Linked DNA regions of Solanum lycopersicum. Each later gene encodes a partner of the first gene's protein in a complex. Links are inferred from orthologs where the notes say so. Each region holds a gene or a part of one and is shown in the gene's direction. Other genes may lie near its edges.

Evidence for each region.
Region 2: MSI1 (region 1) and EZ1 share a complex: the UniProt entries of both Arabidopsis thaliana proteins name them as parts of the plant homeodomain / polycomb repressive complex. The link is inferred for Solanum lycopersicum from reciprocal best matches to the Arabidopsis thaliana genes MSI1 and SWN.
Region 3: MSI1 (region 1) and FIE share a complex: the UniProt entries of both Arabidopsis thaliana proteins name them as parts of the plant homeodomain / polycomb repressive complex. The link is inferred for Solanum lycopersicum from reciprocal best matches to the Arabidopsis thaliana genes MSI1 and FIE.
Region 4: MSI1 (region 1) and chromatin assembly factor 1 subunit FAS1 share a complex: the UniProt entries of both Arabidopsis thaliana proteins name them as parts of the chromatin assembly factor 1 (CAF-1) complex. The link is inferred for Solanum lycopersicum from reciprocal best matches to the Arabidopsis thaliana genes MSI1 and FAS1.
Region 5: MSI1 (region 1) and VIN3-like protein 1 share a complex: the UniProt entries of both Arabidopsis thaliana proteins name them as parts of the plant homeodomain / polycomb repressive complex. The link is inferred for Solanum lycopersicum from reciprocal best matches to the Arabidopsis thaliana genes MSI1 and VRN5.

The regions. Positions count from the first base shown.
Region 1 is NC_090800.1:88,996,599-89,002,429, reverse strand, and holds the start of MSI1 (WD-40 repeat-containing protein MSI1), read left to right. Parts: upstream 1-1,797; 5' UTR 1,798-1,939; coding exon 1,940-2,284; intron 2,285-3,486; coding exon 3,487-3,813; intron 3,814-4,252; coding exon 4,253-4,405; intron 4,406-4,928; coding exon 4,929-5,053; intron 5,054-5,188; coding exon 5,189-5,284; intron 5,285-5,831. UniProt on the Arabidopsis thaliana protein: Core histone-binding subunit that may target chromatin assembly factors, chromatin remodeling factors and histone deacetylases to their histone substrates in a manner that is regulated by nucleosomal DNA.
Region 2 is NC_090800.1:74,596,252-74,602,159, forward strand, and holds the start of EZ1 (histone-lysine N-methyltransferase EZ1), read left to right. Parts: upstream 1-2,283; 5' UTR 2,284-2,384; coding exon 2,385-2,432; intron 2,433-3,033; coding exon 3,034-3,135; intron 3,136-3,781; coding exon 3,782-4,053; intron 4,054-4,684; coding exon 4,685-4,846; intron 4,847-5,908. Other genes in the region: DELLA protein RGL2-like, read left to right, coding at 1-1,057. UniProt on the Arabidopsis thaliana protein: Polycomb group (PcG) protein. Catalytic subunit of some PcG multiprotein complex, which methylates 'Lys-27' of histone H3, leading to transcriptional repression of the affected target genes, mainly abscisic acid (ABA) responsive elements.
Region 3 is NC_090806.1:68,821,859-68,827,762, reverse strand, and holds the start of FIE (fertilization-independent endosperm protein), read left to right. Parts: upstream 1-2,001; 5' UTR 2,002-2,090; coding exon 2,091-2,270; intron 2,271-3,507; coding exon 3,508-3,573; intron 3,574-3,673; coding exon 3,674-3,796; intron 3,797-4,136; coding exon 4,137-4,217; intron 4,218-4,383; coding exon 4,384-4,476; intron 4,477-4,604; coding exon 4,605-4,680; intron 4,681-5,414; coding exon 5,415-5,494; intron 5,495-5,594; coding exon 5,595-5,666; intron 5,667-5,904. Other genes in the region: protein CHLORORESPIRATORY REDUCTION 41, chloroplastic, read right to left, coding at 178-786. UniProt on the Arabidopsis thaliana protein: Polycomb group (PcG) protein. PcG proteins act by forming multiprotein complexes, which are required to maintain the transcriptionally repressive state of homeotic genes throughout development.
Region 4 is NC_090810.1:3,428,776-3,434,808, forward strand, and holds the start of chromatin assembly factor 1 subunit FAS1, read left to right. Parts: upstream 1-2,641; 5' UTR 2,642-2,794; coding exon 2,795-3,250; intron 3,251-4,763; coding exon 4,764-4,863; intron 4,864-5,415; coding exon 5,416-5,563; intron 5,564-5,651; coding exon 5,652-5,775; intron 5,776-5,919; coding exon 5,920-6,033. UniProt on the Arabidopsis thaliana protein: Component of the chromatin assembly factor complex (CAF-1) involved in chromatin assembly following DNA replication and DNA repair. Assembles histone octamers onto replicating DNA in vitro.
Region 5 is NC_090804.1:22,641,298-22,647,398, forward strand, and holds the start of VIN3-like protein 1, read left to right. Parts: upstream 1-2,268; 5' UTR 2,269-2,549; intron 2,550-4,010; 5' UTR 4,011-4,062; intron 4,063-4,279; exon of another isoform or gene 4,280-4,346; intron 4,347-6,101. UniProt on the Arabidopsis thaliana protein: Involved in both the vernalization and photoperiod pathways by regulating expression of the related floral repressors FLOWERING LOCUS C (FLC) and FLOWERING LOCUS M (FLM).

The DNA.
Region 1 (5,831 bases):
AAAATGAGAAAATCAGGTCATACAATTGAAATTGGGTAATTTTAGTTGATTTGGATTTTCCATCCAGTTAAGGGGTAAAACTGGTGAAAATAGTAACAGTAGGGGATAAAAATAACTCTACTTTAACGATAAGGGTATAATCAACCAATAACACAAAGTTGAGGGTATTTTGGCCCTTTTTCCTTAAATTAATATTTAATAACTGGAATAGTAGATTTTATGACTATCTCGTAGAGTTAGAAAAATTGCTTTTGAAAGATTATCAACTCAAGTGTAGTAATTTATTTTTTTTGAATAAAAGAAGATGAAAAAAATCATGAAGATTATTTAGCAACTAATAAGGGAATCAATGTAAAACCTACAAGAGAAGGAATAAGAAGTTAAGAATCGTATGATAATCGAAACGTAATAAACAACAAACAATGATAGATATCAAAAGCAAAAACTATATTATTACAAATAATACGACAACAAACATCAACATCCATTGTTTGTTAACCTTTTACCCCATTGAGTGTCCTCCACGCCCTCATGTTTAAGATAGTATTCTTGGTAATTAGAAGTTATTTTGTGTCGTGACTGATTAGCTCTCTGAATACTTCTTCTGCCTATTCTACTGCTTCTCGAATCTACTATAACTAACCTCTCATATCTCCTCAGTGCAGCATATGCACATCTCTTATTCATACGTTTAGATCATCTCAGAGTTACTTTCTTCCTATCACAAGAGGTTACTCTGTCCTTATCTTGGATATTCTTATTCATAATTTTATTGCTCTTGGTATATAGGTCCACTCTGAACATACAATTAAGGTATAATATATTTTCATTTTCATTTTTAGTAGATTACCAAATAAATTTTATGATATATTTATCTTACAATAACATATTTAACGTATTTTTACAGAATATTAAAAGGTAAATATGTATACAAATTCTACTCATATTAAATAAAATAAAGTTTTGTTTTTATACTCTCCACTCAATTATCAAACCTTACTAATCATAATAAAAAGGGAAACATTCAAAATAAAGGAATCAAGAAAAAATATTAAAGCAAACAAGAAAATTCATACTAAAAACACAAGCATCTATGACAAAGTAATATGATAATCCAAGTGCAATATATAACAAAAAAAAATAGAATTACAAGAAATTTCTCGATAATATTGTGACTCGTTTGGTTTGAATTCATATTTGATGGAATTAATTATGATGAAATAAGTTATGCTAAGAATATTTTTTATTGACTATTTGGTTTGTTGTATTCAAAATAATAAATCTTCTAAACAACATATATGTGTACGAGAACACCCTTCATGAATGTGAGAAGTAATATATAAAAAGTGTTTAAAGGGATATTTTTGTCAATTAGTCATTTTGTCCATGGATAAGTTATTTCAGAATTATTATACCATTCAAGAAAAGAAATAACTTATATCGGTACTAATTATTAATTGTAGGATCCTTTAATACTAGAAATTTTTTAAAATTAAATAAGGACATATTAGGAAAAAAAATTATTGTCCTTTCTTGATTTGTTAAAATAGACAAGTAAATAGGAATAGATATAAAAGAATATGTGGTCACATGAATAAGTAAATAGTGATAGAGGGAGTAGTTAACAAAGTAAAAATAGTTTATATTTAATGGGGCTAGAGGATAAATTTGGCGGCTATTTATGTAAAGATACCTGCACATCCAACCGATTCGTAATTCGGGTCACACAGCCCAATGTCGTCGCAATATAAAACCCTTTTAGCTTTGCACATATCCCGCAAAAAAAAAGAAAAAAAGAAAAAGAAAATTCACTGAAAAATACCGTTCCCTCCAATTCTCTACAAACCCTCGTAAAAATCCCCAAACTCCACAAAACCCAAACCCTCACGCACTCAAAACAGAAGAAGAAAAATCTTAAGGCAATTCTTGAAATTGTTTAATGGGGAAAGACGAAGATGAGATGCGGGGTGAAATTGAGGAGAGGCTGATAAACGAGGAGTACAAGATTTGGAAGAAGAATACTCCTTTTCTTTACGATCTGGTTATTACTCACGCGCTTGAATGGCCTTCGCTCACCGTCGAATGGTTACCGGACCGGGAAGAGCCGTCGGGAAAGGATTATTCCGTTCAGAAGATGATTTTGGGGACTCATACATCGGAAAATGAGCCTAACTATCTCATGCTTGCTCAGGTTCAGCTGCCTCTTGAGGATGCTGAGAATGATGCCCGCCACTATGATGATGATCGGTCTGAATTTGGCGGATTTGGTTGTGCCAATGGCAAGGTTTGAATCTATTCTGTTTTATGCCTTGTTTGGCTGTTTTATATGGGTTTTCATTTTCTGGATGTTTTATTTTACTACATTTTTCTGGCTAATTTCAGTGTTAACGTCTGAGATTTACTTGTTTTGTACTAGAGTTTAGTTGTTCTAGGGCAGCCTGTTTAAGAATCTCTTGAATTTTGATAGCTTTGGGATTATGTTATATAGTAAATGGTTTAAAGTTTATTAACAACACTATAACAAGTAACCAGTGTAGTCCCAGAGGGTAGTGTGTACACAGACTTACTCCTACCTTGTGGAGTTCGAGAGGTTGTTTACAATAGACCGTTGGCTCAAAGTTTTCTCCTTTGCAGCGTAGGTACTAGGGAGTTGTGAATTGGAAGTTGTCAGTTCATTCATGGATTTTGCTCAAGGTACAGTTAATATTTCATCAAAAATTCACCAAAGGGGAAAAAAGGGGGCCTAGCATAATTAGTGCACCATTTTCTGACCCACCACCACACCAAATAAGGGCACCTAATAGGTCAATCCCTTTGGGCAGAGTGAACTCTTTGACTGACATTTTCTTATTGAAATTTTATGCGTTGTTGTAGTTTTTATTATTCCTCTGCTTCTTTCTCTGTCCTGATATTGTTGAAAGGTTCTCTTCATAAAGGGCACTTGAGGCTTTTATATCATATATGAATAATGATGCTTGGACCCCAAATCAGTAGTGATTTGCTGGTAGCTTAGGTGAAATGGGTTGTAACAAAGCCAATGCTTCCTGATTCGGCTAGCGTTCTAAAACTAATGGTTTAGTTGCTCCACTCATTTGAATGTGAAGATGATTGGAAGCAACATTGCTGCAGGAGAAAACTGATGAAGTTTTGAATAGTCAGCTAGAACTTTAAAAAGCTTATGAGAATACCACTTATGACTATCACCTTTTAGTGTAGATTGATGTCACAGATATCAAAGGTACTATCCACATAGAGTCAGTGATAAATTGATAATGAATTCTTCTATTTATGATGAGGGCATGGAACTGTAAAATCTTATTCTCTAAAAAGGTTTTAAAAATGGTCTGTCAGTTCCAATTATCACTTGAAGGCCTTACTCTGATATCTTTTTGCTGTACTATTATTTCCCATAATATCAGAGTGAATTTCTTGTCTCTGTTTCAACATTGAGTGGCTTATGTATAATGATAAATATTTCTCTTTCAGGTACAAATAATCCAGCAAATAAATCACGATGGAGAGGTTAATCGGGCTCGATATATGCCCCAAAACCCATTTATCATTGCAACTAAGACAGTTAGTGCTGAAGTATATGTTTTTGACTACAGTAAACATCCATCTAAGCCTCCTCTAGATGGTGCATGCAATCCAGATTTGAGGTTAAGAGGCCACAGTACAGAGGGGTATGGTTTGTCTTGGAGTCAATTTAAGCAGGGTCATCTATTGAGTGGTTCAGATGACTCACATATATGTTTATGGGACATTAATGCCACTCCCAAAAATAAGGCTCTAGAGGCTATGCAGATATTTAAGGTTTGCCTCGTGTTTTTTTTTCTGACGAGTCTGCAGAGGATAGATATTGCCATGTTACACTGCATAGATTATCAATTTGTTGCACCCACTTACTACTTGTAGTTTTATCTTGTGCAAATAACCATAATTGATAATTGGAGAAGAACTTGTATGCTTTCCCTTCCAGCAAACACCCCCAGGCACCTCGAAGTAAAAAAAGATCAAGCGAAGCAGAATAGCATGAGTTCTCTTTATTAATATCATGTTACAAAGTTAAACTGTAACTTCAATAGTGTCCCAACTTTTGTCTCAAAGGATATTTTTGGTATCATCTTCTCTACTATTTGCTGTCTGAAGCTTCAGTCTACCTAGCATGGACAAGAATCTTGTCTCTCGTATTATTTTCTCATTAAGCTTTTGTCAGCTGTTGTTGGTTTATTCTAATATTTAAAATGTGTAGGTTCATGAAGGTGTTGTTGAGGATGTAGCTTGGCATCTGAGGCATGAGTATTTATTTGGCTCTGTTGGGGATGATCAGTATTTGCACGTATGGGATCTGCGAACTCCATCAGTGACCAAGCCTATACAATCTGTAGTTGCACATCAAAGTGAGGTGCGGCTTAGACTTCTTAGCTGGACTTTTCCACGTTTATGTAGTTAATAATGCTTCCCTTTTGACTGGTGTAAGAACCACTCAGATATGTCTTCTTAACATTGTTGGCAGTCTTTTGATTTTCTTGCACAGAAATGTGAGGATCTTGTGCTTACAAAATAATTATAGTTTTTCTTGAAACTAGAATTAGTGTTTCCCAATTTTTACCTGTACTTTTTTTTCTTTTCATTTTCGTGGGTTTACATTATTGGATGTGCAAACAAGTGATTGCTGTGTGTGTAAACTATAATGTGATGCTCATGTCTGGATGAATTTCTGTTTCGTTTTAAATGGTTTAAGGAGAAGATCCTGCCTTCCATACTCTCTGCTGATTATTAAATGTACAATATCATAGAAGGATGATCATTACTGCACATGGCCTATTATGAAAAACATTTCTGAATGCAGTTATCTAGATTTTTTGTGAACAAGCAGTCTTGTGTTGATGATTGTACATGATTGACCTCCTTTCTCTTTTGATCAGGTTAACTGCTTAGCTTTCAACCCCTTTAATGAATGGGTTGTAGCAACGGGGTCTACAGACAAGACAGTTAAATTATTTGATCTACGCAAGATTTCTACTGCACTTCATACTTTGGATTGTCACAAGTAAGATGTCTTCCTTACATATACTTTTGAGGAAAATGTTGGCTCCGTCATCATTCGTGTTAAATAGTATAATAGAAGCTTGTTCATCTGTATTTACAGTTGCTTATCATTAATTTCCTTGCAACTTTTCTGCAGGGAGGAAGTTTTCCAGGTTGGGTGGAATCCAAAGAATGAAACCATTTTAGCTTCTTGTTGCCTTGGTAGGAGACTCATGGTTTGGGATCTCAGCAGGTTACTCTTCCAACTATCCTTACTAGTATTTTCATAATATCAGAGTGAATGTTCTGTCGGTCCAGTGGGTGCTTTTATTCTATCTTGCTCTTTGATGTTTTGAATTTTAATTATTCCATCTATAAGTTAACACCTGCCTTATCTTGCCAGCTATAGTTCACCTAGAGTTGTGATCTATCATCTCTATTCCTTCCCTCTTCTCCCACATGGCGTCAATCCCTGTACTCCTTAGAAAACTATCCCATTTCATTGTTTGCTACTGCCCATTTATTTGGAAAAACACCTTTTAGTCCTAGATTAGTATTTTGGCACTTCCTTTATAGGTTGCAACTTTGTCATCTCACTCAACATGTGATTTGGAACTCTGAAATAGGCTCATTCTGTTGTGTGCTCGAGTCAATATTGTACTGAATTGTCCTAGCATGTGAAAATGACTACGTCATATGCTCTACTGAGTTTTGGCATGTGTAGAATTGAAGTTCCATGTTGATTTGTGCACATGATAATCCAGATGTACAATTATATTATCATGTGGTCCGAATCTGAG
Region 2 (5,908 bases), about 14 Mb from region 1:
ATTTCTGAGTCAATGCCAACTACTTGCATCAAACACAGGTAACCCTGTGCAAAGAGCAGTCTTTTATTTTGCACAAGCACTTGGAGAGAGGATCGATAGAGAAACAGGAAAATTAATGCCAAAAATCTGCACGGAGACAGATGAACTTAACAGTATCTGTGTTGCATCAAGATTCCATGCCTCATTCGTAGCATTACATCAAGAAGTTCCATTCACCCAAATAGTGCATTTCACAGGAATTCAAGCCATACTAGAAAGTGTAGCAATGAAACCCAAAGTTCACCTAATTGATTTCCTTATCAGAACAGGGGTACAATGGGCATCCTTGATCCAAGCAGCAGCAGAGAGAAAAGACAACCCAATCGAACATATGAAGATCACAGTTATCGAATCAGTCAATAAAGAAAGAGTAATAGAAACAGGCAAGTCTTTAGAGAGTTTCGCTAATTCCTTGAACTTCCCCTTCTCATTCAAGATCATCTTTTTACCAGATAGAAACCAACTGACCGAAGACCACTTCGACATAAAACCTGACGAAGCAGTAGTAATCCATGCAGCATTCTTTCTACGAGCAATGATCAGCATACCCAACTGTTTAGAAACTGCAATGAGAGTTGTAAGAAGGCTACAACCATCACTAATGGTAGTATCAGAAGTAGAGGCAAATCTGAATTCACCTCTATTCGTGAACCGATTCATAGACACTTTATTCTACTACAGTGCATTATTTGATTGCCTGGAAGATGTAATGAAGCGGGATGATCAACACAGGATGACACTGGAAGTGTCATACGGAGCAGGGATTCGGAACGTAGTAGGAAATGAAGGGGAGGAAAGGGTCATTAGAAGTGTGAATCTTGATGTGTGGAGATCATTCTTGAAGAGGTTTGGAATGGAGGAAGTAAAGCTAAGTGACACATGTTTGTATCAAGCTAACTTGATTATTCAACAGTTTGCTTGTAAGAATTCTTGCAGTGTGGATGTTAACAGAGGGTCTTTCATGATCAGCTGGAAAGGAACTCCAATCTATTCCACTTCTGCTTGGAAATTCCATTGAGTTATGCACAAACTAAGATGAATTGCTTTCTCTTTGGAATTTTGTTGAACAGCATGTGTGCATTTATTTTTCATACACTTAAGTGTAATTCATTCGTTTAAAAAATATACTATGGGTGATAATTTAAGTACAAAATTAAAACTCATAGGATTAAAATATGTTTTAATTCATCGGTAGCCTTTTAAAGTTGGTATAATTTTTTTACTTACATATTTTAATTAAGTGTTTATATTACGTGTCATCATTAATGTTATCAGTTTCAAAAATAAAATATTATGTGTCATTAATTTATTGATCATTTTTTTTATTTATCATTAATTATTTATAATTAATTTGACATAAATGACAGATGTCGTGGTTTAATTGGTTATTTTATACATTATCCGCGAGTGTAATACACACGCATTGTATGTTTTTGTTTATATTTAAAAGGTTGTCAAAATGACATAGCGGGATTCTATATAAGTTATCTAAAGTGAACATCGTCCAATTAAAGTGTCTTAGACCTCATTTGTTTTTATTAAGATTGCGATCTTTGAATCTGAATACACGTCTAAATAATTTCATTAAATCTCGGTACTAAGGGAATAATTTCCTTAAGGGGACACTGTGCATTAAGTAGACTCAATTTTTTTCTTTCTTTTTCATTCTATTGTTTTAGATGTTGATATATTTTTTTTATCGTCATTAATTTATGTGTATTATACTAATTGTTTTTTTTAGTTCCTGTTTTTAAATTTTGTTGTTTATATTTCTGTACAATTATTGTTATAAATGTTTGTTAATACGTATAAATATTATTTATTTATTAGAAAATTTAATGTCTCATGTTGATGTTTATCTAATTTTCCAAAAATATCAAATAACAATACTACTTCGAGGAGGCAAAAGGATAAATTATAAAATCAAATTCAAGAAGATCGATTGAAGGATAAATGATAAGATGTTATAATTACTTTTTTCATTTACATTATTAATGTTCGTTACTTTGTAGTCTTATATGTAAGATAATATAGTATTTATTTTTAATGATTGATAAATCTGAATATTATTTTATTAATTATATGATATTAAATTTTCGCGAAAAACATCGATAAATTTCCGAATTTAAATATATATTTTGATTCAACCCTAACAGACACAGTTAATTTAAAACAAAAACAAAAAATAGATCAAACTCTAATATCATATTCGGATTTTATGTCACATCATCAGTCCATCTCCACGTAAGTCTCCTATCACTCCGCTACGCTACTCTCCTCTCTTCTTCATCAAAACTATTCCTTCACTTCCCTATTGTTGTGAAAGATTATCTACACAGGACTTGATGATCTCCTCCACCTCCATCTCTGCTGAATCTGCGCCCACACCCACTGTCAGTACCTTTCTTGATTCTATGTTTGAATTGTTTTTTAAGTTAATCACATCATCAAATTTGACTACTTTCTGCACACCCTTTTGCCCCGATCATCTTGTTGATCCATATATTCTTGTGGGGTTGTGGGGTATTTGAAATTCTTGGAAAACTATGAAAATTTGTTGAAGAAAAAACATGTTTTTTTTTGTGTTCTTGGTAATTTTCCTTGCTTTCCCGCTCCTGAAAATGGGTATTAAACAAAGGACATTGATGAGTAAACAGGGGGAAAGTGTAAGGAAATAGTAAGAACTAGAAAAGTAGTATGCTTTACATATTTCCTGGATTGTGTTTTTTTAACTAGGTCTATTTGCTTTAATTGTCAATCTAGCTAATGATCTATTCAACTTACCTTGTTGAATGAAATTATGGGTTATGAGTTCTTTTCCCCCGTACCTTTTTGTTGTTTTAATGTCATCTGATAATATAGTCTTTACTAGGTAATTTAATGAGGTCTGAGCTTTTTCTTTTTTCCCCAATTCAATTTCAGATGAGTATTTGTTTGTGTTTCTTTTTGAATAAATTAAGCATGGATGAAAACTTTAACTTTGTAAATTGACAGAAGTTCGATGGAGAAAATGAAGAGGATTCTTCAGCATCTCTAAAGTACAGAATCAATCAGCTGAAAAGGCAAATTCAAACGGACAGAGTTCTTTCAGTTAGGGTACTAGTTCTTTTGCATTTCTCTATTTTATATTCAACACTTAAAACTGTATTTCTGCTGATATCATAGCAATCACACAGATAGGCTTGTGCATTTCTCGGACACTCTTATCTCTTTCTATGTTGAATGGTGTTCGGCCAACCCATACCGTAGTTAATGCAGAACATTCATTGGAAACTTTGATCTTAAATGAATATTCTTTTCTTACAGATATTTTGTTTCTTTAATACTTGTTCTGTGAGCAAACCAATTAGTGAGTAACTTCTATTTTCTAAGTTACTAATCAGAAGACTTGTGAGTGGAAGTTAAAAAAAAATTAAAGTGTACAATTAAACGTGGGGGCTGCCAATTTCTGACATATAGACACACAGATATATCATAAACATCAACAGAAAAACTGTAGTTGAAATAAAGAATACGAAGAAGGTTATATGACCCAATAAAAGAATTCATCTAACTTTCTTGGTTCTCATTGAGTGACTGTGGTGTGCTATGTCATATGAATTTGCTAGAATACTTTTTTACAATGTTACTTGTAATTGATGGGCACAACATGAATAGTGGTTTTGTAACCACTTCCCCTCCAAAAAAAACCATAATTAAAAGAAAGGCAAAAGGATTATCTGACAAGGTTATTTTTGTGTAGGACAAACTTGAAGAGAACAAAAGGAAGCTAGAAATTCATGTTTCTGAACTTCTTATGTTGGCTACATCAAGGAGTGATACTATGAAGAATTCTGGGACTGGTAAAATGCTTTCTTTAAGAATATCAAGTCCCCTCTGCAAAGTTGTTGGACTTGTTCAAGGTTCAGGAGACAGGGACTATGCTAATGGAGAGGAAGTCGTATCTTCAGTAACTGCTAGACTTCCCTTCATTCAGAACATTCCACCATATACTACTTGGATCTTTTTAGACAAGTACGTGATAATCATAGTTATCTCTAGTACAATACTGTGAAGAAGTCCATAGAAGAGGACACTTGGAAAGAAATTCTAAAAAATAACATTTGTGCTAGCTACATTGGTTAGCCTTTTGTATATCGTTAACCTGAATATTTCGCCAGTATAAGGCTTAATTAGAAGCACCAAAATTTGCATCTTTTTCTTTATTTTCTGTATTTGTTTTGGACAAAACACTTTCATGACAAGCTTGAGATAGAAATTTTTTGGACAAAACACTTTCATGACAAGCTTGAGATAGAAATTTGGCCTTTGTCGTGGATTTATTTTCCGTTTAATATCTATTTTGGTGATAAGTTACCATCAACAGCTAAGTCTCGCTCCAAAGTCTTAAGGCAGTTCCACAATTTAATAGCTTGGAGAAGATTGGGAGAAAACTAGTTTTCAGTAGTATTCATACATTATCATGCATTAAAGTTAATCTTGTTCATCTTGACTTCTCCAGTTACTCTTCTTTAGCTTTTATATTATGTACTTCTGAGTTTTCGATTAGGCCAATAATTGATGCTATCATGATTATACTTTCATTCTTATTAGAAATGAGGATTTTATTTGCTCTTTGCTCTCAATTCTTCTTCACAAAACACAGAAATCAAAGAATGGCTGAAGATCAATCAGTGGTTGGGAGAAGGCGGATATACTATGACCAGCATGGTAGTGAGGCACTAATCTGTAGTGATAGTGAGGAAGACATAGCAGAACCAGAGGAAGAGAAACGTCATTTTTCTGAGGGAGAGGACAAAATTCTTAGGTGAGTTCAGATAAATAGCATGTATTACAACTTTATAGAATGTTATTGTTCATTTATTAAACAGATTTTTGCTTCTGTTTCAAAGAGAAAAATTGAGCATAGACTGTTTCGAAGAGTTGGATTTGATGTAATTTATTTCTCTATGTCGCAACTAATGCTTAGTGCTTACATAGGGAAGGTTTGTATATGTCATGCCCCAAGTCCATGTGACCGGCAAAGACACACTACTGACTACCCTACCAAGCAAACCAAACCCATATGATGCATCCTGACCATATGCATGAAAGCCATTTGACCTTCCTTTTTTTTTTTTTTTTTTTGCATTTACAAATTAATCATGAAATATTTTCAACTTCAAAAGAACATACCCTAAAGCATTTCACAAGAATAATGAAATCAAAATAAAAGAGACGTCTTTCCATGTATGTCATGTAAACTCCCATTGTTACAGCCCAACACAACTTTCTATGGAGCCTCTATACAATGGAATAGAATTAAACTCTTGGGACAATTCCTGTCCGAAGAAAAGAATAAGGGACACACTAGCTACCACGGAATAAAAGTTGTGCCTCAACATACACATTAGGAAGAGAGACACCCTAGCCATGTCTGCTCCTCATGTGTCACGCCTCATATTAAAATATGAAAAATAAAGGGGGCCTAAGGAGGGCTGAGAGTACATTGTCACAGACTTTATAAGTATCATTGACTCTCTCTCAGTCAAAGCTTGGACAAGACTTCATTAGAAAATGAATGCAAGTATAACTTGATATAGAACATAATACATTGATATCAAATTGAAATTTGAACATTTGAACTTAAAAGTCAAGTGTAAAATCCAACACCGACACTAGATCCAAGGTCAACTAGGTGATCAACCTAGTGGCAAGTATCACATACCCTACTTGCTCAAGTCGTCTCATTGTAGTGTCGTACGAATCGACTCAATAATACTATCATAGCACACTATACCCTTCCATGGGGATACTTTAACCTATCCCTTTACCATTAGGTAGAGTCTATGCCTACACTGGCATGTGTAATTTTGTGACAACAACCGGA
Region 3 (5,904 bases), on another chromosome or scaffold:
AATCTACAATCCTTTCGAGGTGACCTCGTGGTTTGGACTCGGGACTTTCATATTGGAGGTGTCAATATTTAACCCTAGCCAGCAAAAGCAAGGATTTTTGCTTTCTGGGTCGTGCTCGTCGATAATGAAATACAGACTTAAATACAGTACAAGTGAAACAAAGATGCTACAAATTTGTCAAAAAGAATTAGCAACAAGAATGGCTTGCCTACAACGTGCTTTAGCTTGTTCAAGTCTTTTATTCAATGTTTCTTCTTTAACAGCAGCACTCACCATAGCTAAATCCATTTCCATAAGCTTCAAAACTCTGTACAATTCCGTCACCATTCTCTCCTCCACTTTTCCTTCGTCTTTCAACACTTCCGCTTCTTCCCTAGCTCTTTCTGCAACTATTTCTCCAACTTTCGCTAACAACGCCGTCGACCCAAAATCCCTAGCCATTAACTCTTCCAATTTCTCCAAAAAATCCATTATCACATACCCAATTGGCTTATCTAATGGAATTGGCTTTGTTCTCTTCCACCCAATTTCGAAATTTGGTGGGTCTTGCTTTATAAGCTCAGTTCTTGATTTTCTCTCACGGATTATCTCGGATTTTCGACGTTTTTCAATTGGGAATTTTTCTGGGCTAATTGTTGTTTCTGAATTTGGGGTTAGAAATTCTGGGTCTGAAGAAGATTCAGGTGAAGTGCATTTGATAGTGAATTGCTTTACGCAAGAAATTGGATGAATTGAAGGAAGAAGATGGAGATGGTGAAGTTGAAGAATATTTGAAGAAGAAGCCATTGTTTTAAATTCTCCAACAAAGTTGATAAGGTCTTATATAGTGTAGTATTTACTTTTGTCAATATACACTATTTGATAAAAGTGAATATCTAGATTGAGCTAAATATCTACCTGAAATACATTGCGTTTCGAAATATTTGTCATGTTTAATTTTTGATATTGAGAAAAAGTACGACTTGTATTATTTCTTGTGTAATCTTGACATATGGTAAACAACAATAACAACATATGTAGTGATATTTCACAAGTAGAATCTGAGAGGATAAAATATATGCAAATTTTTTCACCATCTCGCGAAGGTAAAGAAATTATTTTTGAATACTCACATCTCAAGAGCAATCAATTCAAGTATAAAGAAGAAGAAAACATAATAACTAACGAAGAAGAAACTGCAAAGTCAATAAGAAAGAAATGTCGCTAGTACAATAACAAACATCTACGAGCCTACACCCTCAAAAAGTAAAAGTAACTCTCCATACCTCCTAACCAACTATACTTCTTCGCCTATTTTCATTTAAAATTAATATTGATTAAATTACTCTCGAAAAATAAAATATGACAGTATTTTAATATAGATAGAATACAACACTTGTTTTGTTCATTTCATGTGACACTATTTTCATCGTTGAAGAATATCACTTTACTCTAATTAAAGATAATTTTACTTTAGAATCATATTTATTTTCCTGATGTACTTGATATACTTTTGTTTAGAATCTTGTTTGGTCATATGACACAAAATCATCATAAGATAAAGTTCAAATTTTATTTGGATATGTCGTTTGAACATTTTATCATGAATATAAAAAAATCATAAATTATAAAATTATTCTATATTTTTTTTACAATCTTATCAAATAAATAAAAATTTAATAAATCACATATACCGTATCATAATATTATTCTTAAAACATACCGTATTAATTGATCGAACCTTAATACTGTTCAAGGTGTTAGTAAAAGAAATTGTTTTTTTCAATTAATTAATGTCACAAACTCACAATGATATGTCTTGTGCACTTAATACAATGATGGTAAAATATTTTTATTAAGGTTTTTAAAAATAAAATATATATTCAGGTCGATTTTTCTATTTAAAACGTTTAAATTATAATTTAAAATTCTGAAAATCATATTAATTTGAAAATTTAGATCATATCTAAAACGCTAATTTCATCTCACGTATAAAATTAATCTTAAAAAAAAATGTCACTTGCGTCTTTTTTTTTTTAACAAATATTTTAGGGACACTGTAAATATGTAGAGTTTTTCGTTCCTCTCTAAGCTCTGGCGGAGTGATAGCAATGGCGGCCAGAGTACCTCTAGGATGTGAGCCAGTTGTTGGATCATTAACACCGTCAAGGAAAAAGGAGTATAGAGTGACGAACAGACTCCAAGAAGGCAAACGCCCATTATATGGCGTCGTCTTCAATTTCATTGATTCGCGCTACTTCAATGTCTTTGCTACTGTGGGCGGAAATCGTGTGAGTTTTTTCATTTGGGGTTTGTCAAAATTGTATTTTGTTTGTTGTGCTGATTCGAATTTGTGGAATATAATACTTTTCTTTTAGTAATTTGAGCTCTGGAATGAAACGGGTAAACGGGTACGTGTATGAACGACCTAATTGTTTGAGGTTGGTGGGTTGCTCTTATTGTTGTTATTGTGGTTGTTGGCTTCATGTATTACTATGAAAGTTCGAAATTTTCGTTCTTTTAGGATTTGTCTTGAGTTCTAGAATGAAACGGGATGACGGGTATGGGTGTAACTGTCCCAATTGTTTGAGACTGATGGGTTGCTCTTTTTTTTTGTGTGTGTGATTATTGGCTTCATTTATTGGTATGGAAGTTCAATTTTTTCATTCATTTGTCTTGAGTTCTGAAATGAAACGGGTTAATGTTGAAGAGTTGGTCTTCTTGTTGTTGTTATTTTTGGGTTCATGTATTAGTATGGAAGTTCAAAATTTGTACAATTTAGGTAAGAAGTATCAATCTTTTGTTTTTCTTTCCATCTTGGTCTGTCTTATTTTTTTAAATGCCTCGGGGTTAATATTAGTTGAGCTGCTGCTTGTTTCAGATGAAATTGTGCTAAAATTGGACTTGCAAGTTGCTTTAATGTTGATTGATGGTTCAAGGACCCTTTTTGTTTCCTACAATTGCTCTTATGCTTATCTTGGTAGATTCATTGATGCGTCACAAACTGAAATGTCTTTATGTAGTTATGACTTAGGATGGATGAGCCAGCTTTGTACAAACTTATGTTGTATGGTGTAATGATCGACAGTTTTTGTATGTTTCTCCACACATGCAGAGTGCCACATATTCAACAGATTTGATAATAATTACCTAATGGTTCACCTTACTATTATAAATTGTTCATGGCAAAGGTTATGATTCTCAGAATTGGGTATGGATTGTAATCTTGTATAATCTCTTAGCAGTGTGGAGTTATGCTATTATATATCTTGTTGTATTTCTAATCTAAGTTGAGAGTTATGGATGATGTAAAAGTAAATTTAGGATTTGGAGAAGTGCATGCTCTTGTTAAGTGATGTGTCTTTTATTGGTCTAGATATGTCATCTGAGAGTTGTTTCAGAATACCGAACTGAAAGAAGATAACAACAACAGAAGAATAGTACTAGCCTCAGGAAGTCAGGATATGCTTTTACTGTATGCCAATTGTCGATATCCTGACTAGTCTTTATTTTCTGGCTGTTCGTCAGGTGACTGTATATCAGTGTCTCGAAGGTGGTGTCATTGCTGTGCTGCAGTCTTATATTGATGAAGATGTAAGAAGTTGCAAGCACACAGTTGTTCCATCTGTTCTGTACATATGTTATTTCATATACTTAAAAAACTTTTGTTTTTTCCATGTGCTGTGTAAATCAGAAAGATGAATCCTTTTACACTGTAAGTTGGGCCTGCAATATTGATGGAAGTCCATTCTTAGTGGCTGGTGGAATAAATGGAGTTATTCGTGTTATTGATGCTGGGAAAGAGAAGCTACACAAGGTCTTGACATGAAATCTCTGATTCACATTTTACATGCTCAAACAAAAGTAGTTGCTCTTTTAGTTATAAAAAATGAATATCTGCATATGAGTTTTTAACAGCCCTCTAATTGATCTTTATCTTAAAACTAAAGTATTTCCTTTTTCCATGATTCAATCCATCTTATTCATCATGATATTTACAAGTTAAATATTCCTTCATGATTCGTTCCATGTTAAGTTGTATTAACAATACAAACTTGAAAGAGAAAGGTTCTCTTAAAAGTTAAAGCTAGTTACATGTTAACTTAATATCATATGTCTATTAATCTATTTTAATCTACTTTCTTATGATTGAACAGAGCTTTGTGGGGCACGGAGACTCAGTAAATGAAATTAGGACTCAACCCTTGAAACCATCTCTTGTATTATCTGCCAGCAAAGTATGTACCTTATGGATTCCTCTATTTCCTTCCCCCGCAAGGAAAAATATATTTGATCCTCTTTATTGGAAGAAAAATATTTGCACAGTTGCAAGATGTATGTGGAGTATCAATCAATTTTGCAAATATTTTACATGGCATAGTGTAATTATCACGAGTGTTACAGGATGAATCTGTTCGCTTGTGGAATGTTCATACTGGAATATGCATTTTGGTATTTGCTGGCGCTGGAGGTCATCGGAATGAAGTACTTAGTGTGGTAAGTTTCTCTGTCAATTGCAGTTCCACTCCAAGGATGGAGTTGGTCGCAAAGTAATGTCTTTCACATCTTTTACTAATACTGAGAACCAATATTTAAGCATATCAGCTGGTTTGTGATGTTTGTAGGACTTCCATCCTACTGATATATATCGGATTGCTAGCTGTGGAATGGATAACACTGTTAAGATCTGGTCAATGAAAGGTAAAACCTGTAACCCTTTTCAGTTTCACATGTATTATTGAAATACGACATATGATATAATACTAAGTATCATCACAGTCTAAAACTTTGAAAAGAGAAAAACTGAGGGTGATCTTTAGAGTAGCAACTTGTTATTGGCTGTATTCACAAGGCTTTTCCAGAATCTTTAGGGATGATGATGGTGCTATGCCTGTACTTTTCTGGATTTGGTGATTTTGCCACCGATATATCTTGAATCTCACACGACTACCTGGACGTGTTGAAATAATGACTTGCACACAATCTTCATTGTGGAATACATTAATTTATTAGCACATATTTCTACAAGGATATCTTTGTCTTTGGTTACAAGTATAAAAATGATGCCAACGTTTTCAAAGATCCAACCGCAGTTATCAATGTACCAATTACCTGGAAGGAATATTAGGCAGCATGCAGTTATCCTAGAATTTATGTATTCTGGTGTTCACAATGCTTTTTATCTACACTACTTTACTTCCCTAGTTATAGTCACACCTATCAGCAATTACCTTACTGTTGTCCCTGGAAACGATGTAGCGTTGGCTATGAGTCAGATTAAGTAGTCATCTGCTCCATTGGTGCTCTGTTGTTACACAAGTTTGAAAAAAAATAAAATGAAGTAACATCAATTTGAGTAATGTTACCAGTATATATAAAGAAGTAACATCAATATGAGCTGATATTTCTTTTCTGATGAACTACTTGTGCTACAGAATTCTGGACATATGTGGAGAAATCGTTTACTTGGACGGATCTTCCTTCCAAGTTTCCCACAAAATATGTACAGTTTCCAGTGAGTAACTCTTGTTAATTCTCTCCTTCCCTGCCTTCTTTCTTCTGAAAGTTTGGTTGGAGGATTTTTTCTTGCTGTAACCTTCTTTTTGTCCTTTCAGTTGTTAATAGCTTCTGTCCATAACAACTACGTTGACTGTAACAGATGGCTTGGTGATTTTATCTTGTCCAAGGTGAATATATTGACCTGCTTTCTACCTGAATTCTTTTTTTTTACCGTTCTTCTATATGAGCTTATTAGAAAAGAACTGTTCTATTGTATGAATTATTGGTTGGCTTTATCTTTCTTACCGGGAGATATTTACTCTTCTGATTTCGTCGAGGGGAAATCAGAGCAAATCTGGGAACCTCTGGAAAAGCAAAGAATAGCTTTCTTTCTTAACCATGAGCTGTCAACCTCAAGTTGAAAAT
Region 4 (6,033 bases), on another chromosome or scaffold:
ATTTTGAAAAATATGGAATTAGTTGGTCAATTTTCTATTGTTGAGAATATGAAGTATCCACAACATAAATCTGTTATACATGTGGATAAATTGTTACATGATGGATAATAATATTATATTAATTGTTATAACCAATTTTAAAATAATGATCTAGAATATTTCAAATGTCGGTAAACCAATAAATAATTTTGTAGACTTCTTTTAAGTTAAAGGGAAAAGGATTTGATATATCCCTTAACTTTGTCATTTGGAGCTAATATACCCCTCGTTATAAAAGAGACTCATATATGCCGTTACCGTTATACAAACGGCTCACATATACCCCTGCCGTTACAAAATGGCTCACATATGCCCTTCATTTAACGGAAGTTAAAAAATTAGTTTTAAATTTATATTTATTACTTCTATTTTTTTTTAAAAATTATTTAGGTGTATATATGATTCTTCTATCAAAGTTCAAGGTATATTTTAACTTTTTTCATACATAAATAATTTTTTGTCTTCTTTTATTATAATTATTTGAATTTCTTATTCTTATTTTGTTTTTTTCTTTTCATTCCTTAGTTTAAAGAAAGAAAAATTAAACTATTTTCTTGTGTGTATTGTAATTTAGTTTCGTATTCGAAGAAAAAATTTGGTCATCTACAATAAGTTTTACAAGAATATTAGTGAAACATAAATAAATTTGATTATCAAACATAATTATAAATTAGTCATTGAAACGAAAAAAAAGTCAAAAAGAATATGTTTGATGAGGATTAAATTTACTAATATGGGATTATATTTTTTAGAAAAAAATAATAAAAATTTAAATTTAAATTATTATTTTTTTCATTTCCGTTAGAGGAAAAGGGTATATGTGAGCCATTTGTTTACAAGTAGGGGTATATATGAGTCACTTTCATAACAAAGGGTATATCAGTTCTAAATGACAAAGTTTAGGGGTATATCAGACCCTTTTCCCTAAGTTAAATAATAGTTCTTCGACATTTTTAAAAAGTAAATTTTATGAGTCTTGATTTCTGTTTGTTAGCAAAAGGATTTCTTGATAATGTCAATTGCAAGATAAAATTTGCCACTCCATAAATCAGTTTGATGTTTGATGTTTTTGTGGCGATTATTGTTAAAAAAAATTCACTCAAACGGGGCACATATTTAACGTTAGAATACACTATTAAATAGTTTAGGGGTAAAAAAAATTTCATAAAATTTGGGATCGTAACAACAATTTCGTTAAAGTTAAAATATTTTTCAAATCCTTTTTCCTCAATATTTTTATTGTCGACTCATTTTACTAATTTATAATTTATAAATCTGCAAAATTAATAACCAGATTAATAAAATATTTATATCAAATTTTATTTTCAATTCAATTTCAATTGAACATATAAGAAAAAATGCTCATAAAATCACTATATATGTGTATGATGTTCATAAAATAAAAATAGTAGCAAGAAGAAAATTGCAATTACTTTTTTTCAATGGGTTCAACACTTTGGGCAAGCCTATCAGTGTGTATATATACAAGACACTGTAAAGGAAAAATTATATGAATTAATATATTTTTAAAAATAATTACTAATTTTAGCAATATTTTTTTTTAATTATTCATATTAATACTGTGATAAATCTGTAATATGTATTAAAAGTGAATTATGTGTGCAATATATTTGAATTATAATTGTTTTTGAAATATCTTATGTTTGTTTGGTTAAAAATTATCATATTGTATTAAAATGTGTGATAAATGCATTATCCATCATTAAAACTTGTATTATATGTGAATAATAAATTATTTTTTTTGTAATATGTATTTAACTTGTATTATAAATGAATTAAAAGTGATCAAGTGAAAAAAATATTATTTTTATAAATGGTAAATATTTTTTTACTATAGTATATTTATGTAAATTTCTCGACTGTAAATTGATGATTTATTGGGTTATCAATTTAGTCACTAACCAATATCATAATTCATGGGAAAATTCAAATATAATAGCAAGCTATTAATTCAAATTAAATGTTATTAATCTAATACTTTATTCTCAATAAATCATTAATGATTTTTCGATAACTTACATAAACATCACTAGTTTAAACGTTAATTATGTATATTCACACTAATTTACAATATCATAAATCTCATCGGATTTAATTTTAAACTTCAAATACATGTATCTTGCACGTAACACGTGTATCTCAAATACTCGAGACCAAAACTAGACATAATTCATTCAAAATACATCCAAGTGAACTCACACATGCATGTATATGACCTTTTCACTCGCCTCTCTTCGCGTATCTGATATTCCAGTGTAATTCACATGTATATGAGATACATACTATCTCACTCGCCTCCCTCTACCTACTTTTAATTGATAAAACAATAAACAATACGTAAATATTTTAAACTATAGACAAAAAATTAAGAAATAAATACAATAAAAATATATATCTAATTTAATATATAGTAAGTAGTAATATTTATATTTAATTAATTTGCTAATAAGGGACCGTTTGGATTATGAAACCTTTCATTTTTTCACGGCGCGAAAACCAAAAAAATCCCCGCAAATAATTCGCACCAAAAGGCGGGAAAACAAACATAAATCTAAAAATTTGTATAAAAAAATTTAAAATTCTACAAAAACAAACACGCGGCACATCTCTTCACTATCACCCCACTACCCCCACCTCAACCCCCACCCACTATTTCATTTCTAGGGTTTTTTTTTTTTGTTCTTCATTGAATCTTCATATACAAGTTTGGGTATTTTTCAGTTGAATCGGAGCAATGTCGGAGGCGATGATGATTGACGGTGTTGAGGAAGTGAAGATGGAAGTTGTTTCGGATGGATCGGTGAAGAAGACGATGAAGAGGAAGAGGGTTAGTTTGGTGATGGATAGTCCGGAGGAGAAAGCGGCGAAGATTGATGGGTTGGAAGTGGAAATGAAGGGGTTGGTTGAGTATTATAAGGAGGTATTGGAGAAGAAAGTTGTGGAAGTTGAGGATTTGAAAGGGTTGGGGTTGAACTCGGTGATTGCTTGTATGATGGAGGAGAGTAGTCTGTCGTTGTCGAAATTGGTGGATGTGATTTTTGACAAGATTAGTGGTAGTGAGTGTAGTTGTAGTAAGGTTAGTGTGAAAAGTGCTGTGATTTTGGTTGGGCAAAGGATGCTTTACGGAATCCCAGATGCAGATGTTGACGTTTTGGAGGATGAATCTGAGTCGGCGCTTTGGTGTTGGGAGGTAAAAGTTTCAATTTTTGTTATCTGGGTTTGTTTATTCATAAGCAACTCTTGAATCGCTAGATTTTTGGGTGTTGTTTTTACATGAATATTGAATTGGGAATTGGATGTTCTAACGATATTATTGTTAGAGAAACTTTGTTTTACTAGTTTATCGATTCTTTTGGCATGTGTGTGTTTCATTAATTTGGTGTATTAATGTTGATTGTTGTTTCTAATGTTTAGATTGCATCTACTATGTTGTTTGATGTGTCAAATGGCTGTCTTGCTTCAGTAGCATATCTGCTTAGCTTTAATGAATATTCATTGATTAGATTTGATGCTCGTAAGGAAATTTTTAGTTATCATGCATATATATGCTAGTTACTCAAATTGCGAATTTAGTGAATGGAGTTGATTCTAGAAAGTGAAATTTCTAATAATCATTCATTGATATGACCCTGTTATTTTCAAATTTTGGATACTCCTTTCGTTGAGTACATATTATCTGTCTTAGACTTATTTGTAGGATTACTCTTAATATGTTAACAATCAGGAGTGATGGAGTAATTTGCACCTCTAAGAACTGTTTGGATTTAAGTTGAAATGATGCATTTTCTCCAACACACAGGTTTGAGAACTAGAATAAAACCCATCATATTATTCTCACCAACAGGCGGAAACTGAAATAAATCTCAAAACTTCCAGAAATTTTAAATTTTACAAAACAAACACGTGTCAGCTCTCTTCTCTATCTCCCCACTGCCACAACTATTTCATTTTATCCTTCTTTTGAGGGTTTTTGATTGTATCTTCCCTTAGAGGTTTCCTAAACCGGTTCCAGAATCTGTGAGAACTTGCATTTTCAGTGGGATCGGAGCAATGTAGGAGCCGATGGTGATTGCCAGTGTGAATGTATTGATAATGGAAGCTGAATCCTCTATGCTTATCACTATTAGAGACATTTTGCTTTCCTAGTTTGTTGATTTTCTAGAATCTCTTGTGTTTGGCATGTGGGTGTTTCATTATGGTAACTCCTAGTGTTAATAGCTGGTGCAAATGATTGTTGTAGATTTTTCATTGTGTATTAGTGTTCATTATTGCTTCTAATCTTTAGACTGGATCCACTATGTTGTGTGATCTATCAAAAGAGTGTCTTGTTTCAACCAATGGCAGTTCAGCTTATTGCTCAGACTCTTTAAAGATGTTAGTGTGTGTGTGTCGGATTCTCCAAAAGTATTGTATTTTTGGAGAATCAAGCATTTGTTAATTAGCTATTCATTGATTAGATTTAATGCATAGTTATGCTAGTTACTCAATATTGTACATGCTTCAACCCTTCAATCAGGCGATTGAACTTTTGCATGCAAATTTGGTGAATGGATTTGATTCTAGAAAGTGGAAACCCATAGACAACTCTTTCCCGCTATTTATTCTTTCAATGTATTCATGATACAGTTTTCTGTCATCTGTTTTAATCTACTTTTTAGTATAAATAATGCTAATGCTAATGCAATTCCTTTATTATTTTATAGACACGAGACCTTAAATTGTTGCCCAAATCAGTCCGGGCTATCCTGAAGATCCGCAGGACTTGTCGTAAAAAAATCCATGAGAGAATTACATCTGTCTTTGGTGAGTGAATACTAATAACTGTACATGTTAATCTGTTTGTGGTGAAGAAGGCTTTCTATTAACCTTGCAATATTTTGTGTACTTCATATATGGGTCTCATGCTAATGGTGTCCATATTATATATGGCGTAATTTGTGGTACTGTTGCTTCTAAACATTGGCCTTTTGGTTTGCTTGCATTTTGGATACACTTGGTTAGGCTTTCAGTGAGGCTGATCATTTCCAGTTGCGTTGATGAAAACATGAACTGAATTTGGATGATTTAGAAACGTGATCGTATATTTGATTTTCTATTGGTTTACTCCACTATTCTTATCCATCTGATAGCATGTGAATTAGAGTACATAGCATTATTGATTTAATTCATTCAGTGCAATTACTTGTGATCTTTTTGGTCTAATTATTTCTGTTGATTCTATTTCCTAGATGGAAACATATGTTGGATGGGCTTTTTGTATGTAATTCATTAACAAGTGAATGATCTATTTGGTTGTCTTCCAACAAGCTTAGAAATTTGATAAGCTGAAATATTTGTGTTTGGTCATTGTGGCAGCTTTATTGACTGCGCTAAAAAAGGTGGAAACTGATCAAAACTGCATCCAAGAACAGATGAAGGCTTCTGAAAAGCTTGGCAAAGTATTAAATGAGGCAGATATCCGCTTATTAGTTGCAAGCATGGAACAGAAAAATGGTGCTGAAGTGTATGTGATATCTATTTCTTCCCTAGTATTGTTTCCTGTATCTGTCTCCTCTTTCCCATTGTTTACTCAAATCTCTTTATTGATAAAGGGCTGAAAAGTCAGTCAAACTGGAGGAGAAACTTTTGATTAAGCAGTTGGAGAGAAACAAACGAGAAGCTGAAAAAGAGAAGAAAAGGATGGAGCGTGAAATTCAGAAAGAAAAATTGAAAAGTGTGAGTCATTTGATTCAACCTGTTGGTTAAATGCTTGTTGCTGTTGGCATATCTTTAGAAGTGTGCCATTGGTGGTGTCATACTGGCCATGCCTTTAAATATGATCTTGATTAATCTTTTTGATGGCTAAATCTCCCTGTGCAGGAAAAAGAGTTAAAACGGCTACAAAGTGAAGCAGAGAAAGAGGAAAAGCGGTTTGAGAAAGAAGAATCTAAACTGAAAAAGCAGTTGATGAGAGAACAAGAAGAAACTGAGAAA
Region 5 (6,101 bases), on another chromosome or scaffold:
TGTTTATAAAAGACTTCGATTTTTTTAAAAAAAAAACTTTTAAATTTTTGCACCATTTCCTATTTTTTATGTTATGATATGCTAAGAGGTTGGTATGAGGCTCTTCGGAGTCTTGTACGTCGTGTTACGTCTAGGGAGTACTCAAACCACGTCTAGTAGAGTCTTGTTCATACATGTTAAACGCATCATAGTCATGAATAAGAGGCTATTGGATATTAGGAAAACTTCACTTCTTCATTCACTAAGTCGTGACATAGAGCCTAGCTCTATTAGGTCTTTTCTCCTAATGTGTGCCCTATAATTTTTTAGGATATTACTACTTCAAGGGCTAATGTTGAAAGGAATGCGGAATACAATGTGGAGCAAGAGGTCCCCTCCAAGCTCCAATTTACCATATATATGAGAATATGACTAATGTAGAGATTAGGTCGGCTCTTCTAATGTTGGCTAAAGTTATAACGGCTCAAGTGAGCAGGGAGGTGGTAGCTCCGGTGGATCCGATAATGAGTATGGTTACTTTGAGAGTGAGAGATTTTGTGAGGATAAATCATCTGGAGTTTTATGGCTCCAAAGAAGGAGAGGGTCCTCAAGATTTCATAGATGAGGTCTCTAAGATGTTCGACTTAGTATGTGTGTGTGTGGGGGGGGGGGGGGGGTACTCTTGGGTCGTGACATTTTTTCACACTCATTAATCTTAAATTTATTTGCCAACATGATTTGATCAAACTTCGAATATCACTGTTTGGGTGTTTGTTTTAGTCCATAAAGTGACTTAAGGAACCACAAAACTCCTTAGGTTGCTTCATGTAAATTTCTTCGTCCAACTCTCCATTTAAAAAATTGCTTTCACATTCATTTGATGGATTTCAAGATCATATACCGCAACTAATGCAAGTAGCATCAAAATGAATGTAATTCTAGTTACTAGCGAGTATGTGTCAAAATAATCAAGGCTTTTTTTGTCTAAAACCCTTGACGACAAGTCTTGTATATTAGTTTTCAATAGTTCCATAAGCTTTCATTTTTTTATTGAAGATCCATTTTGAACCAAAAAGTTTGTTTCCCGGAAGAAGATCAACCAACTCCTATGTATTGCTCAAGATTAAATAAATCTCATTATAGACAACCCATTACCAAAAGAATGAGTCTACAAAGAAAAAACTTCTTTGAATGTTTGAGCCTCATATTCAAGAAGAAATGTTACCAAATCATATGCAAAGAAAGTAATGTTCTTTGATGTTTACTATGTCTTGAAATCTATTTATTAAGTCCAGTCACCTTTGATTCTTCTTGAGGTCGTTAAAACCCTTTATAAACAACTTAAGTCTAATTCTACCAATGAACTCAACATTATCTGATTCAATTACCGTTTACCATGAATATTTGAATGTTCGAACTTATGAACCAAAAATCGACACACTTTATTGTTTGTAAAATATTCAATGATTCACTTCAGCCAAATAGTGGCACCTTAAAATTTGTTGAATCTTGAACTCACAGTAAATGACACTTGATTTTTTGCAAAAAAAAAAGTTATAACTTCAAAAATTTAGTACTTGATGTGTATTAGTTAGTATGTTAATATCTAAGTAAATATTAAATATTTATAGCTATCAAAAACTGCTTCAAGAAAAATTCAATGGTTCAAAAAATGCAATACCAATTCGTATCGGTGCTGCATCGGCGACCATTGACGTAAAATTGTATATCACCCTTCAAGCACCATTTCAAACCAGGACAACAATGAGATGTTTCTTTTCAACCAGCGTTGGATCGGTGAAACATTGATGTATAATTATACAACAATACGATACAAACTAATGTGTTGAAGAGATACATATCTTCTAGCGATATCGCCGATGCAAAAAAATGTGTCTCGCATGTAAGAAAGGATATAGGGGCAAAACTTTTACTCAAAAGTGATCTTTCAATAGATCATTTTTTAAAACTAAAATCAAACCCAAATTCAAATCTGATGCCGAATTGAACTAGCAATTCAAAATGTAACTATATTAGATCTTATTCATAACAAGTAATACATAATATTTGATTGAAAATAAACACATATATATATTATTACATAATACAAGAAAAGTATTGTTAATATGAAGAAAAACAAAGCAAGTAGAAGGGTACAATTAAATCCTTTCCAATTAATATAGTAGTATAAATGTAAAATTTGGAAATGAATATTATATTTATTTAGGTATGAAAAGCACATGCATGTGGAGGTGATAAAAGTTAAAGTGAATACCTCCAACAGAAAATATGATAGAACCTTATCTTGAGAGTAGAATAAAAAGCGTGAGAGAGACGAGCAAATTGTAAAACAGGCAAATAGAGCAGGTCACGCTCCTAAATTACGCGTGAGGATCATCTCTAATTGGCGTGCAGAAATTTGGTATAACACCAACTAACATTAACAGGTCCCAACTTTTCTTTAACACAGAGAGAGAATTTTTCATTACTCTCCAAACAAACCCCTCTCTCTCTTTCTCCTTCGATAACCCTAAATTTTTCTCTCCTTTTTTTTTTATTAATCACATCAGGTACTTTCTTCAGAGTTTCTCATGTTTTTGTTAAATATATTTGTTTTCTTATTGGTTGTTTGCTGAATGTGTTTGGTTCCAGATCTGTTACTCAAGTTTGTGATTGTTGATTGTTTTTGTGAAATTTTGTTTCTCTTTGCTGGGTAGTATATATATTTTGGGTATTGTTCGTGATGAGGTGTTTTGACTGTTACGAGTTGGTTGCTGGTTATCTCTGGTTTGTTTCCTTGCTGAATATGGGCAATGTGAAGAACTAGGACACTAGTAATTTCCAAATGCTCATTGCGTCTGTGAATGATTTTAGTATTTCTTGTTGGGATAGCTGATTTTAGCATTAGCACCATTTTAGTGTTGCAGATTCTAGTTTCAACACTGATGCATGTGCTGATTTATAGAAGTCTCAGACATTTTTGTTGTTATTGAGAGAAAGGTCTCTTTGGGGGGTTAGAATAGCTTAAGTTTTTTTATTTCTTCTTTTTTATTAACAAAAGAGGTAGGCGGGAGCAAAGTTAGTTAGGTAAGAGAAAGTGCAGTTAGTTTTACCATGACCAGAATAATATCATTAGATGTGAGAGGTAAAGAACTTCACAAAAGGATGGTGATTAAGGGAGGTTTTGAAAGGATGATTTTTCTACTGTGCTTTCTAAAAGATAATAAAGGATCAAGTAACAGATGCAAAAGTTTGAAGAGTGTGGAGTAACAAATAGGTAGGGTGGACCAATCTTGAATCCAAAAGGGTAGCATGGGAAATCTTTGTGGTTTGGGACATTGGGGTTTAAATAGGTAAGTATACATACTCTAAGAAAGGAAAGAGAATCAAAATACATAATTACAGGAGTAAATCAAGCTATACTATATTTACAAGATCATATTTTATCATATTTATGAGAATCTTACAATTCTTTTTAATGTGATCTAATCTTTCCTCTGTTTTAGTTTGTGTCTTAGTTTGACTAGGAGTAGACACGGAGTTTAATGATGTAATTTGTCAATTTTGTGGTTTTAAACTAGGATGCATATAACATTTTAAAAATATCCTCTGAATCTTGTGATCATAAGTATATCATGTCATTTCCATAAGGGAGTGTCATTAAGGTTGAAGTAGGAATATTGAAATTAAAAGCTCACTAACATAGAGATGTGTCATTCTTTTTTAAACAAACTAAGTAGGATACTTAAAAGAAAAGTAATGCAAAAATGGAGGGAGTAAGGTTTTGTGTTTGGTGTGGTTGTGTGTAAATGACTATGTAGTTTCACGTGTGTTTGTGTTTCTGACTTTCTGTTGAAATTTTGGTAACTTAAATGTTCTCTAAAATTTTTTAGTGTGGAATTTGAATTGCCTGTTCCTAAGATGCTGGATACAAGGGTAATCAATATTTTAGGAAAATGTTTGTCTCTCATTTTAGAGACCTAAACTGCAGAGATGTATCACTTATGAAACTTAACATCTTATTGTCACAGGGAGGGGTTGCTGCCACATCCTTATTTGGCTATCATTGATGGATTTATAAAGGTGAGAATGTCCACTTAATCTCATGTCCTGGGAGTTATCTACCTACCACCTAAGCATGAGAAACTGCATTAGGATAAAGTTGTATTTTTGTTTTGGTATCTGTAGATTCCTTGTTTAAATCCTTTCCAGACCTCCATGGTATTTTGAGTATAAAAGAATAGTCATAATGATTCTTGTATTTACTCTTCAATTCTTGGTTCCCTTTTTTTTGTTTCAGGATATGTATATATACCATTTCTTGGCCCTAGGCTCGCAATCTTAGCCATGGGAAGATGGGAAACTAGGTCTTCTGGCCTACATCCAATTTAACTTCCTATTCTGATTTCTTTTTTTTTTCACACATTTCATGGTGGTTAGCTTTATAGGTTTCAACGTGAATGTTTTAGTCTTATGGTTTCAATATGTTTAAAATTTTTGGTATTGGTGTAGTTCGGAATATATAGATGATCCTGTAGCAATTGTAGACATCTTAGAATCCTTGTAAGATGATATAGGACCTAGAGATAGGTTTCTTTTTTTGGGTTGTTGAGCCTACTTAGTTGTATGTAGCTTTGTGATCTAAATTTTTGGGATCCCAGCCTTAATGCGGATGATTATATACAAACTTGTTACTTTTGTAAAAAAAAAAAATCTCTATAAGACTAAATTGAGGATGAAGCTCGTAAAATCCATGTATGTTATAGTAGTTGTTTTCTATAATATTTGAGGTTACCCTCCTTAAAAAAAGTGAACCATGGTGCATAAAATTAAGAAATGATGCTCAATAAATTAAGGGATTTATTAGAGCATACAAAGATAAGTATAGTTAATTGAGACTAACTTTCCTACTTATGTTATTATTTTTTTATGAAGTACATTTTGTAGATGGCATGAAGAATATGCAGAAATACAAAAAGAGTTAACAAAGAAAAGTCTGCTTAATATAAAAGAGATTAGACCAGAACTAGGGAACAAGAAAAGCCCAAAAAGTGATTTATGCATATTGATGATATCATCTATGAAATGTACTTCATAAAAAAACCATAAGTAGGGAAGTCATTGTCAATTAAGTATACTTATCTTTATATGCTCTAACAAATCGAAAACTAGGTGTCCGTCATGAGAAACATGTAGGGGATATAATTTAATTTTTTTTCTGTTCACATCAATATCCTAATGGAACATTGTAATCCCACTTATGTGAAAGTATGCATTTGTTTTTTTGTTTTGTCCACAACACATATGATGTGATGCCATCATAAATCCAATGCTTAATTTCAAGAAGTCAAATTCCTTCAATTTTCCATCAACTTGTTATTTATTAATTTTAACAACTATATTAAGAAAATGTTATAGGGGACATATATAGATCTTATTGGTTCATGAATATGAAATTAGGTCCTGCGTGGACTAGAAGATTGATAAAATTATATCAAGTGTGTTAAAGTTATCCCGCATTGGTTGTGAGATTTAAGATTAGCCTATTTATATAGTTCAAGTAATCTTCACTTTGTGAACTAGCTTTTGGGTTTGAGTTGCATTTAAGATCCATTTCTTATCTTGGTATCAAAAGTTAGACTCATCTCAATTCTTGGTTTACCTAATGTTGGCCCCCCATAATATGTTGTCCACTCTCCGGTTGATAGGTCTGGGGGTGCGACAAGGGGGTCAAAGTGTTAATTTGTCCCACATTGGCTGTGGAATGACCATATCCCTTTTGCTTTCATAGATTACAATATGCACTTTCTTCTAGGGGGCATATCATATGATATTATTATTTCTACATCTAAAGTAGGGAGTTGGTATGATTAAATGGAATGTGCAACACATCATATAAGAAGGTTGTTATAAGCAAAGAAGCGCTACTATAGATTGCAAAAGGCTCTAGGAGGTCTTTGAAAACAAAGGAAAGACTTTCAAGTTGTGGCGTTATAGGGATTTCTCAACAAGCCTTGTTTTGTCTCATAAATCTTATCAATATTGGAGATTTATCTCTACTATTTCTATCAAGGGCCAAGACACTAGTAATTATTCTACCTGAAAATACATTTAGTGAGATA